Caenorhabditis elegans: one gene and its partner. The protein of the gene in region 1 interacts with the protein of each later gene in a pairwise test. Each region holds a gene or a part of one and is shown on either strand. Other genes may lie near its edges.

What was found.
Region 2: the proteins of eef-1A.1 (region 1) and rpt-4 interact in a two-hybrid assay, tested with the Caenorhabditis elegans proteins (2 studies listed by BioGRID).

The regions. Positions count from the first base shown.
Region 1 is NC_003281.10:6,969,494-6,973,963, reverse strand, and holds eef-1A.1 (Elongation factor 1-alpha), read left to right. Parts: upstream 1-2,251; 5' UTR 2,252-2,283; coding exon 2,284-2,427; intron 2,428-2,480; coding exon 2,481-2,649; intron 2,650-2,697; coding exon 2,698-3,518; intron 3,519-3,567; coding exon 3,568-3,825; 3' UTR 3,826-3,938; downstream 3,939-4,470. Other genes in the region: rfc-4 (Replication factor C subunit 4), read right to left, coding at 349-435, 483-713, 767-899, 947-1,203, 1,269-1,329, 1,378-1,472, 1,518-1,596, 1,643-1,704; F31E3.12 (uncharacterized protein), read right to left, coding at 3,945-4,074, 4,116-4,286, 4,336-4,421.
Region 2 is NC_003280.10:41,506-48,024, reverse strand, and holds rpt-4 (putative 26S proteasome regulatory subunit 10B), read left to right. Parts: upstream 1-1,892; coding exon 1,893-1,913; intron 1,914-2,646; coding exon of another isoform or gene 2,647-2,796; intron 2,797-2,845; coding exon of another isoform or gene 2,846-2,980; exon of another isoform or gene 2,981-2,985; intron 2,986-3,107; exon of another isoform or gene 3,108-3,175; coding exon of another isoform or gene 3,176-3,246; intron 3,247-3,300; coding exon of another isoform or gene 3,301-3,544; intron 3,545-3,589; coding exon of another isoform or gene 3,590-3,850; intron 3,851-3,901; coding exon of another isoform or gene 3,902-3,991; intron 3,992-4,047; coding exon of another isoform or gene 4,048-4,080; exon of another isoform or gene 4,081-4,118; intron 4,119-4,362; coding exon 4,363-4,715; intron 4,716-4,764; coding exon 4,765-5,492; intron 5,493-5,543; coding exon 5,544-5,662; 3' UTR 5,663-5,818; downstream 5,819-6,519. Other genes in the region: C23H3.5 (Nucleolus and neural progenitor protein-like N-terminal domain-containing protein), read right to left, coding at 1-38, 384-441; rpoa-49 (RNA polymerase I associated factor, A49-like protein), read right to left, coding at 654-791, 1,036-1,911, 2,647-2,796, 2,846-2,980; Nuclear transcription factor Y subunit nfyc-1, read right to left, coding at 3,176-3,246, 3,301-3,544, 3,590-3,850, 3,902-3,991, 4,048-4,080; F23F1.10 (Reverse transcriptase domain-containing protein), read left to right, coding at 6,047-6,181, 6,343-6,498. UniProt on the Caenorhabditis elegans protein: The 26S proteasome is involved in the ATP-dependent degradation of ubiquitinated proteins. The regulatory (or ATPase) complex confers ATP dependency and substrate specificity to the 26S complex.

The DNA of each region.
Region 1 (4,470 bases):
TGAAAACTGCTCAATGGGGCGAGATTACTTAGAAAATGGAAGGGGAGCCGAGTCTTCAAGGAGCGAAAATCGATGGGCGACAGAGGGTGAAAAACTGAGCGGAGAGCAAAATAGTTGGGAGGGAACTAGTAGTTATTTATTCCAAACTATCCTATTCGATATTTTGTATTCAACTGAAAAAAAACCTAAGCCGAATTGTACCTTCAAAAAAATATAATAATCTCAATGTTTTGTCGAAATTTGAGCACAAAACTATTGTTTATAGAATGTTAAAATTTATATATAGTACACGTGAATTTTGAAGTTGAGAAATCAATGGGCAAATTGAAACCGTATTGTGTTAATTTATCATTGGATAGTTTCACGAAGAGTGAGCAGAAAGTCGAGGAGATTGTTTTCCAAATCACATCCATCCAAAATTCGCTTTTCGCAAGTCTGAAATTGAACTTTCATTTCTATTTATGTATTCATCTTCCACCAACCGCAACCAGTTTCCCCATTACTCCAATATTCTCGTCATTGATAACATCTTCATCCATCAACTGTTGGAAACAACGACGAATGAAAGCAACACCAGTGCACGATTTTGTGATATCCTTTGTCAATGCAATTATTTGGGGAACATCAGCAGTCAGGATTGATTTGCAAACGTTTGAAATGAGTAAACTGTCCGAAGAACCACGGAGATAGCAATTTCGAGCATTGTCATCGCCCTGGAAATATAAAGTACTATTTTTACACAATATTTATAGAAAAAACAACTAACACTTTTCAAAATTGGAGCCAATGACTGAAGTGTACATACAGCTCGTCTCAAATCACCTTCTGAATATTCCATAACTTGTTTCAGTTCATCATCACTCATGGGAGTTCCTTCTGCATCACAAATTGTTCTCAATCTAAAAACACCGAAAGTTATAAAAAACACTTAATTTTGAAATTTCACCTTTGAACTTGAATCTCGGCTGGAAGTGATTTGAATCGGAACTTGGCACAACGGCTCACAACTGGAGGAATCAATCGGGAAACATAGTTGCAGATGAGAATGAAGCGAGTAGTTTTGGAAAAATCTTCAATAACTCTGCGCATTGCTGCTTGTGCTTCTCGGGTCATCGCATCAACTTCATCAAGTATGATAATTTTCAATTTGAGAACATCTTCCCTATGGCTGTGGCCCAAAGATGACTTGGAGAAGGATTGAATCTAAACAGGAAACGTTTTTATAATTATGGAATTCTTAATTAATTAAAAATCAGTGGCAATCTTACTTTTTGACGAACAACTGCAATACCACGCTCGTCCGATGCATTCAAATCAAGAACCCTATCGCTGAAAATATAATTATTGGAAAAAATTATCACCCAGTATTTCACTTACTGGAAAATATTTTTTGGGAAGAGTTGGCGGCAAAATGCAAGAGCTGCTGACGTCTTACCAGTACCTGGTGGTCCATAGAACAAAAGATGTGGTAACTGAAAAATTAAAACGATTAGTTTGAATAATTTTTTAAGCAATACGTCTCTTCCTTGAAGCGCTCCTTTCAGCATTGTGACGACTTCATCCTGGTATGCAATATCGTCTAGCGTTTTTGGACGACTGAAAATTTGAATTTACTTTGCAAATCGAAAAACAAAAAACTAACTATTTTTCTGTCCAGGTGAGCACCTTTGGTCTTTTATTGTCAACTTCCATTGGTTCTTCCATTGTTTCTGTTAAATTAATGAATTTTTCATAAAATAAAGACATTATACAATATAAAAATGAAGAATTTATTGAAAATAAACTGCCAGAGAGAAAAAGTATGCAACACTCCCGCCGAGAGTGTTTGAAATGGTGTACGGTACATTTTCGTGCTAGGAGTTAGATGTGCAGGCAGCAACGAGAGGGGGAGAGATTTTTTTGGGCCTTGTGAAATTAACGTGAGTTTTCTGGTCATCTGACTAATCATGTTGGTTTTTTGTTGGTTTATTTTGTTTTTATCTTTGTTTTTATCCAGATTAGGAAATTTAAATTTTATGAATTTATAATGAGGTCAAACATTCAGTCCCAGCGTTTTTCCTGTTCTCACTGTTTAGTCGAATTTTTATTTTAGGCTTTCAACAAATGTTCTAACTGTCTTATTTGTGACCTCACTTTTTATATTTTTTTAATTTTTAAAAATATTAGAAGTTTCTAGGATAATTTTTTCGACTTTTATTCTCTCTACCGTCCGCACTCTTCTTACTTTTAAATTAAATTGTTTTTTTTTCAGTTGGGAAACACTTTGCTCACTCCGTAGCAGCCATGGGAAAAGAAAAGGTTCATATCAACATCGTCGTCATCGGACACGTCGACTCCGGAAAGTCCACCACAACTGGACACTTGATCTACAAGTGCGGAGGAATTGACAAGAGAACCATCGAGAAGTTCGAGAAGGAGGCTCAGGAGGTAAATAGTACAAACAACTAGTTTGAAAGATTTTCTCACCCGATTTTTTTCAGATGGGTAAGGGATCTTTCAAGTACGCTTGGGTCCTCGACAAGCTGAAGGCCGAGCGTGAACGTGGTATCACCATCGATATCGCTCTCTGGAAGTTCGAGACTGCCAAGTACTACATCACCATCATCGATGCCCCAGGACATCGTGATTTCATCAAGAACATGATCACTGGTACGACTTTGTTAAATTTTTAGCTCGTTTATAAAACTTTAATTGCAGGAACATCCCAGGCCGATTGCGCCGTCTTGGTCGTCGCTTGCGGAACTGGAGAATTCGAGGCCGGAATCTCCAAGAACGGACAAACTCGCGAGCACGCTCTTCTTGCCCAGACCCTTGGAGTCAAGCAACTCATCGTTGCCTGCAACAAGATGGACTCCACCGAGCCACCATTCTCTGAGGCCCGTTTCACCGAGATCACCAACGAGGTTTCTGGATTCATCAAGAAGATCGGATACAATCCAAAGGCTGTTCCATTCGTCCCAATCTCTGGATTCAACGGAGACAACATGCTTGAGGTCTCCTCCAACATGCCATGGTTCAAGGGATGGGCCGTTGAGCGCAAGGAAGGAAACGCTTCCGGAAAGACCCTCCTCGAGGCTCTCGACTCCATCATTCCACCACAACGCCCAACTGACCGACCACTCCGTCTCCCACTCCAGGATGTGTACAAGATCGGAGGAATCGGAACTGTTCCAGTCGGACGTGTTGAGACCGGAATCATCAAGCCAGGAATGGTCGTTACCTTCGCTCCACAAAACGTCACCACTGAAGTCAAGTCCGTTGAGATGCATCACGAATCTCTTCCAGAGGCCGTCCCAGGAGACAACGTTGGATTCAACGTCAAGAACGTCTCCGTCAAGGATATTCGTCGTGGATCCGTCTGCTCCGACTCCAAGCAAGACCCAGCCAAGGAGGCTCGCACCTTCCACGCCCAGGTCATCATCATGAACCATCCAGGACAGATCTCCAACGGATACACTCCAGTTCTCGATTGCCACACCGCTCACATCGCCTGCAAGTTCAACGAGCTTAAGGAGAAGGTAACTTATTTGTCTTATTGTTTCGTTTATGTACCAATTTGTTTTTCAGGTTGACCGTCGTACCGGTAAGAAGGTTGAGGACTTCCCAAAGTTCCTCAAGTCTGGAGATGCTGGAATCGTCGAGCTCATCCCAACCAAGCCACTTTGTGTTGAATCCTTCACCGACTACGCTCCACTCGGACGTTTCGCCGTTCGTGACATGAGACAAACCGTCGCTGTCGGAGTTATCAAGTCCGTTGAGAAGTCTGATGGATCCTCTGGAAAGGTCACCAAGTCCGCCCAAAAGGCTGCACCAAAGAAGAAGTAAATCTTCATTGTTGAGTTTATCTTGTTGATTTTTGAATAAATTATCAACTCTTTACTTTTTAATGGGTTATGAAATAAATAAACATTGAAAACTGATAAACAACGTTCATCTCTGTTAACTCAACTCCAGAAAATCAGCATTAACATTAATAAAGTGATAGATATAATGAGGCAAATAATCAAGACTTTGGCTATTGTGTCCTCGTTGTTCTTCAGCTTCGTGGTCCATTTGCAGTGTTGCTTCTCAGATCTGGAAGTAATATTTGGTATTCGATTGAGCTTGCTCCTCACCTTCGATCTAAAATTTCGATAGCATCTGGAGATTCATTGTTTCTTTCGTTGATATCAATTTCTTCTCGGGTGAACTGGTCCACATTTATAGTATGTCTTCTATCATCAAACAGCTTTTCCTTTTCAACTTCCATATTAACTTCGCTTAAGGCACGAGTTATCTCCGCCAGCCTGATTAGATCAATTTAGTACATTGATTTACAAAATTGGGAAAACGAACCGGAACATAGCAGGATTCAATATATTCTTCGGTGTATAGTAACCAGTGTCATCCTTCTCTTCATTTTCTGATAGTTTCTGCGTCATCTTAAGTTAAAAAGTAGTTGTAGAAATGATAAATGGATAGTATAGAATA
Region 2 (6,519 bases), on another chromosome or scaffold:
ACTACCAGGTACATCATTTGAAAATTCATCCAGCATTTCTGAAATCAAGATGTTTGAAATATCCTGGTAATTAGAGGAAATTACGGTTAAAGGTCGAAAATTAAATACCTAATTGAAAATATAGTTTTTTTTTAAATTTGATATTCTCTCTTGAAAAACACCGAGAAAAAACGAAAAAATAGGCAAAATCAAATAATTTTTAATTTTTCTTCGGAACCCGTGCCAAACAATAAGACTTTCTTGTGATTTTTTAAAATTTCGAAATTCGATTTTTATTTGTTTAATTCAATATTTTTCTCAAAAAAGTAAAAATCTTGATTCTAGAAATTATATTTTAGATCTACATTTAGAAATTTCAATTATTTTTATTAAACTATGCATACCAATGAATACATCATCATTTTCTGCTCCTTCCTGTCCTGGGTCTTCGTTAGAAAACATATGCCTGTAACAAAGGTAATCAAATTAAATTTGAAATACAAATTATTAGAAATCTGATTGGTGTTTGAATCCGAATCCCTCCAAAAATCAAGATAGAAAAAAATAAAGATTATAACGGAAATTCATAACAAAACAAGTTTAACGATTTTAGAAAACAAAACAAAACAAATTTGAGGAAAACGAAAAGATTTAAGAAAAAATAAGTAAAATATTTATCGCCGAATGATCTTTCTGGGCCCTTTCTGTTCCAGACTCGGAGGTTTCAAGAGAATCGCGGCACGGAGGGAACGAAGAGTTTGAGCAGACGCCACATCGAGACGAATCAGGTCTGCACCTAGTGCTTGGAACATCTGAAAATGGGGCATTTTGGTGAATAAAACTCTTGTTGGAGTTCTTTGAAAATGTGCTTAATTTTAGAGAATGTTTAGAGAAAAAAATAAAATAAATAATTTCAAAATTATGCGTACGCGAATCTTGTAAAAGTAAAAGTACGCGAATCTTTCTATCACGTTTCATGCACAAAATTGGGTTCATTTTTTCTGGATTTTAGACTATTTTAAACAATTCAAAGCAAAATTTTCAAGTGGGATTTACCTTCTCAAGTTTACTAGGCTGATAACTAAGAGCTTGTTGAAATGGAGTAATCGGTACTTTGTGCTCGGGTGCCAATGTCAATGCCAATGCAAGTGTGTGCGCGATAAAACGATCATAGTCGGTAACATTGAGACGGATTCGTTCGGCTCCACGTCCAGTGTACCCCTTCTCATTAGTACTATCATTGAAAAACTGGGCCTGAACTTTCTGTCGGAGAATATCGGGCATCTTTAGCTCACTCAAATCTTTTCTCAGCAACTGTCTTTGCTTTCCCATTTTTGTGAGGATCTCGATCATGGTGGAGAGTAAAAGATAGGCGGCTGCACGTTGTTTGGTCTTTTCATTGTACATAATAAGAGTAACACACTCTGGAATTCCAGCTTCAAGTTTCTCTTTTTTCTTCTTTTCCATCAGTTCAGTGGCGATCGATTCAATTGCGTCAATCTCAATGTCTTCAAGGAACAAGGAAATTGGATAGATATCTCGTGAAAGTTCCGTTTGAACAGCAGGTGGAAGAATTGATGATTCGGCTTTATTCATCATTGTGATATTCTCCAACTTCACGTCAGCAGCACCATCCTCAGTTTTAACGTTCGAATTCGAAGCGAACGCGGTCTTTCTCATTTCGTCCAATGTTTCTTGATTAATAGTTCTTCGTTGAGCTGCTTCATCCATTTTAATTTTCTTCGAAGAACCAAAATTCGATGTCAATTGACGACGTTTCTCAGCCCATTTCTCTGCTCCAATTGAAAAATCGTTTTTGTATTCTTCAGACGACGATTCCTTCTTGTCACTGAAAATCTTCTCAATGTCTTCTGAGAACTTGCTTTCGAATGAATAGAATCGTGCAGGACGATATGTTGCTTCTCCAGTTCTCTGTAAGTTTTTTTAAAAAATATTCTTATTCAAATACATAATTCGATATTCCTTCAAGAGTACACAAAGGTGGAGTACAGAAATCTGAGAAATATTATTAAATGACTCCAAATTTTACCTTGAACCCGAAAATCTGTGTGAAAAAAATTCAAAGATTTTCTATATTCTATATTTTTTATATAAGCTTGAAATGGCGAATTTCATTTGTGCACCACCCATGAATAACTTTTTTCGCCTCAGAGACGCCATGTGTCGATTTACGAAATTTTTAATCTATATCGGATGCTGATTTCCGTTTTTCATTGATTAAAAAAAAATTTTTGGAGCGTTTGAAAAATCTCAAGGGTTCACAAATGAAATTCGGGGATTTCAAGCTGAAATCCAAAGTCAGTGAAATTTTTTTTTGATAGATTTTCGGAATCAGGGGAAAATTTGGAGTCATTAAAAAATATTGGTACTAGTCCTAAATCACCCCGCCACTTTTTTTATTTGTGTATTATTTCCCCTCATTTTAATATTATTCATTTTAATAAAACGTGATGTCCATTTTCCATCTTTAGGCTTAGAAATGGCTATTTCCTAAGCCTAAAAATACAAAAACTCCACACGTTTTTATTTGAAAAAAAAGAAAAAAAGTGGCGGGGTGATTTAGAACTAGTACCAAAATATTTTTCAGGTTTCGGTACTCAGCCTTTGAAAGAGTGAATTTGTTAGCTAAAATACACTCAAAATTACCTTATCAACCAAAGCAACAGCAAAATCGAATCCCTCATCAAGACAATTAACATCTGCCCCAACTTCTACAACATGCTCGCTAATATCTCCTTTTACGCTGAATATTGGCGCTTTTTTACGTCCTCCTTTTCCGTGTCTTTCGAATGTCAGCTAAAATGGATTTTTATTTTCATTTGAAAGAAGGTGCTTTAGAACAAACGTTTTTCAAATCTTTTGGCCGATTGTGCACGAATGAGGCAACGATATCAGAATCTGCAAATTCTTTGTTGGATTCCACATTTCTCACGTGGCAAGCCGTCTTCTTCGCACTCAGCTCCTCACTTGACAACCACATTTCGCCTCAAATTTAAAGATTTCAAAGTAAAAGCCTGTAAAATGAAAAACAAAGAAATAAGAAAATATATGAATGTGCATATGAAACACAGTATTTTTAGACAAAAAAGGTATAAATTCAAGCTTTTAAAGGGCGCCAGGCGCCACGAACTTAATTTTAATACATAATATAAGCAAGAAAATATTATTATAAAGATCAATTGTGGTGAGATCGGTTGACTGAAGAATTTGAAGTTCTCTGGTGAAAGTCGGAATGCATGTTGGGATCTATAAAAGGTTAAAAATTGCACAAAAATCATATTTAGGAAAAAAACCGAAAACCTTGGAAACTGTCTTCACTCATATGGCCTGGGCCGTTTGTGGAAGTTGTTGGCACCGTTTTCGGAGGTAGAAAGTCGATGAGAAAATCGAACTGATCACTTTTTTGCACTGCGCTTGCTATGTCGGCTTTTTGAAGAATTCGTCGCCTTGCTTCTGACACGTATTGCCAGCCCATTGCGGTCATTTCTTCAATGAAAAACTCGGCTGCTTGAGCCATAAATATCGGAGCATCAGACGCGATCATCTGTAAAAAGTGTATGAAGATCGGCTGGAAAATGACACTACTCACAAAGTTGCGAACATCGTCGTCTATTCGCATAATCTTTTTCACTCTAGCCATGGGAACGCTCATGTTTTTCGACTTGTTCAGCATATCCTCTTCAGAAATCTCAGTCATTTTCTGTTTTTTTTCACGCCAGAAATCTTCTGTCATTTGTCTCATCGAGGCGTACTTTGCCGGTGGTATCGCATCATTGTGATGGATTAAATTATTATAAGGATGAACCGCACCTTCTACAATAGAAGGCATATTTATTGGATGCATGTTCGGCTAAAATGAAATAAAATAAATAAGTTTTTAAAACGAGTTGATTTTATTCACCGTGTAGGGATGTTCCATGAACACTTCTGATTGATTTGTCCCATCATTTTGTATGTATTCGGCAGTTTCGTTGTTTTCGGCGTGTAAAAGCTGAAATAAATGAAACATTTGCTGGGAAGTCGAAAATTTTAAATTGTATTACTTACATTATTGTCTAAAACTTCTGGGAATTGCGACATCACGGCAGATGCAAGAAAAATTAACTTTAAACTAATTAGAAAAAAATAAATTAAAACAACACTATTCTTCTGTCGTGAAATATTGTGCATTGTGTGCACGTACACCGAGGCGGAAGATTGCGGACTCGATCAACTGCGCTCTGTTGGACACGATGACAATTTCAATTCTGATTTTCATTTCTGACGTTCTTTCCTCATGAGAACCTCGTTTTTTCAGATTTTTACATCTTATACAGATTAAAAAATGTTTTCATTCAAAACTAGATATTTTCTGAATTCCAGAACATGGTTGAACCAACTGGTCCCGCCATCGTAGAGGATGAACGCACTAAGGCGCTCAACAGCTATAGAAGAAAATTGGCAGAGTGCCGTGACATTGAACAGAAGTTGAAGGACTTGCGAAAAAAAGAAAGCGAGATGACCAAACAATTTGACAAATCCGAGAACGATATCAAGTCGTTGCAATCTGTTGGACAAATTGTAGGAGAAGTGCTCAAGCAGCTCAGTGAAGAGAAATTCATCGTCAAGGCAACCAATGGTCCTCGTTATGTTGTCGGATGCCGTCGCAGTATTAACAAGGAAGAGTTGAAGCAAGGGACAAGAGTTTCGTTGGATATGACAACTCTTACTATCATGTAAGCTTTTAGTTTTTTAAACAAAAAGTCTTAAACCGAAATGTTTCAGGCGTCAGCTGCCACGTGAAGTTGATCCGCTAGTCTACAAAATGTCTCACGAAGATCCTGGTAACATTAGCTATTCAGATGTCGGAGGACTCGCTGAGCAGATTCGCGAGCTTCGTGAAGTTGTGGAGCTCCCACTCATCAATCCCGAACTCTTTAAACGTGTTGGTATCACTCCCCCGAAAGGATGTCTGCTTTTTGGTCCACCGGGAACAGGAAAAACTCTCCTTGCTCGTGCTGTAGCATCGCAACTGGATTGCAATTTCCTGAAAGTTGTCTCGTCTGCTATTGTTGATAAATATATCGGAGAGTCTGCAAGAATGATTCGAGAAATGTTCAATTATGCTCGTGACCATCAGCCATGCATTGTCTTCATGGATGAAATTGATGCGATCGGTGGAAGACGTTTCTCAGAAGGAACATCAGCAGATCGTGAAATTCAGAGAACTCTTATGGAACTTCTCAATCAGCTCGATGGATTCGATTCGCTTGGAAAAGTCAAGGTTATTATGGCCACGAATCGTCCTGATACATTGGATCCTGCTCTTCTTCGTCCTGGAAGACTTGATAGAAAGATTGAAATCGGACTGCCAAACGAACAATCTCGCTTGGAAATTCTCAAGATTCACTCGAACAAGATCACCAAACACGGCGAAATAGATTTTGAAGCTGTTGTCAAGTTGTCCGACGGATTCTCGGCTGCTGATTTAAGAAATGTGTGCACAGAAGCTGGTGAGGAGTTGAATCATAAAAATTGCATTCAAATTATCATTTTTGTTTCAGGAATGTTTGCCATCCGTGCTGAGCGTGAATTCGTTATCGACGAGGACTTTATGAAAGCTGTTCGCAAGGTTGGAGACGCGAAGAGACTTGAGACGAAGCTCGACTATAAACCTGTCTAATTGATTTTTTCGTATTTATTGGACCTTTCCCGTTTGCATCTTTTAACCATTATCCCGTTTTCAATGTTTCCGTGTAAAAAAAGAAGATCCGAATCATAAATTATTTTTGGCTGGTTCTTGACATGGAGTAGATTTCTCGATAAATAATATTTGTAGACCCAAATAATGACGAGCCTCGTAAAAAAAATCGCGAAATATTATAGTAATTTTTCGATTCTCCAGACTTTCAAAAAAAAAATTCAATTTTATTTGGCACAAAGGCACTTTTCGTGTAAAGATTCTCAATTTATCCTGAATAAAACCCACAAAAGGTCGAAAATTGTTCGATTTTTTTCAAAGAAAATAGAAAATGAAGCTTTTCAATTAAATTTTCGTTTCAGAGCAATGGCGAGCACCAGTATAAAATCTGCAATCGCTCGTATCGGATCCATCAAGTATACAGAACTGGAGGACCTGAAATCAGTGAGCATATCCCAGGAGGAACAAGAAGCAGTTAGAGTTGAGCTGGAAAAAGAAAAGGTTTGAGCTGATATATTCTGGAATGAGATTTATACTCGGAAATGCCACTACCCCATTCAAACACAAAATGTCTGGCTCGTTAATAATATAATTAGATCGGCTATTTGCGTCATTCGAGAGTTTCAATTCACACAAAAACATTCCAGAAAATCTTTTTTTAGGATAATTGGCGCCCGGAGGAGCTACCGAAAGATTTCGAATCTCGTCTGGAACTGTTTGAAATCTCTTCTCCAATAAAATGCGTTAGAATTCCAAAACGGGAGCAGCGACACACTCAAATCATCATTGATGAGTTTAAGAAAAAGAAGAAGAATTAAATATGTCTATTTCACTTCCTT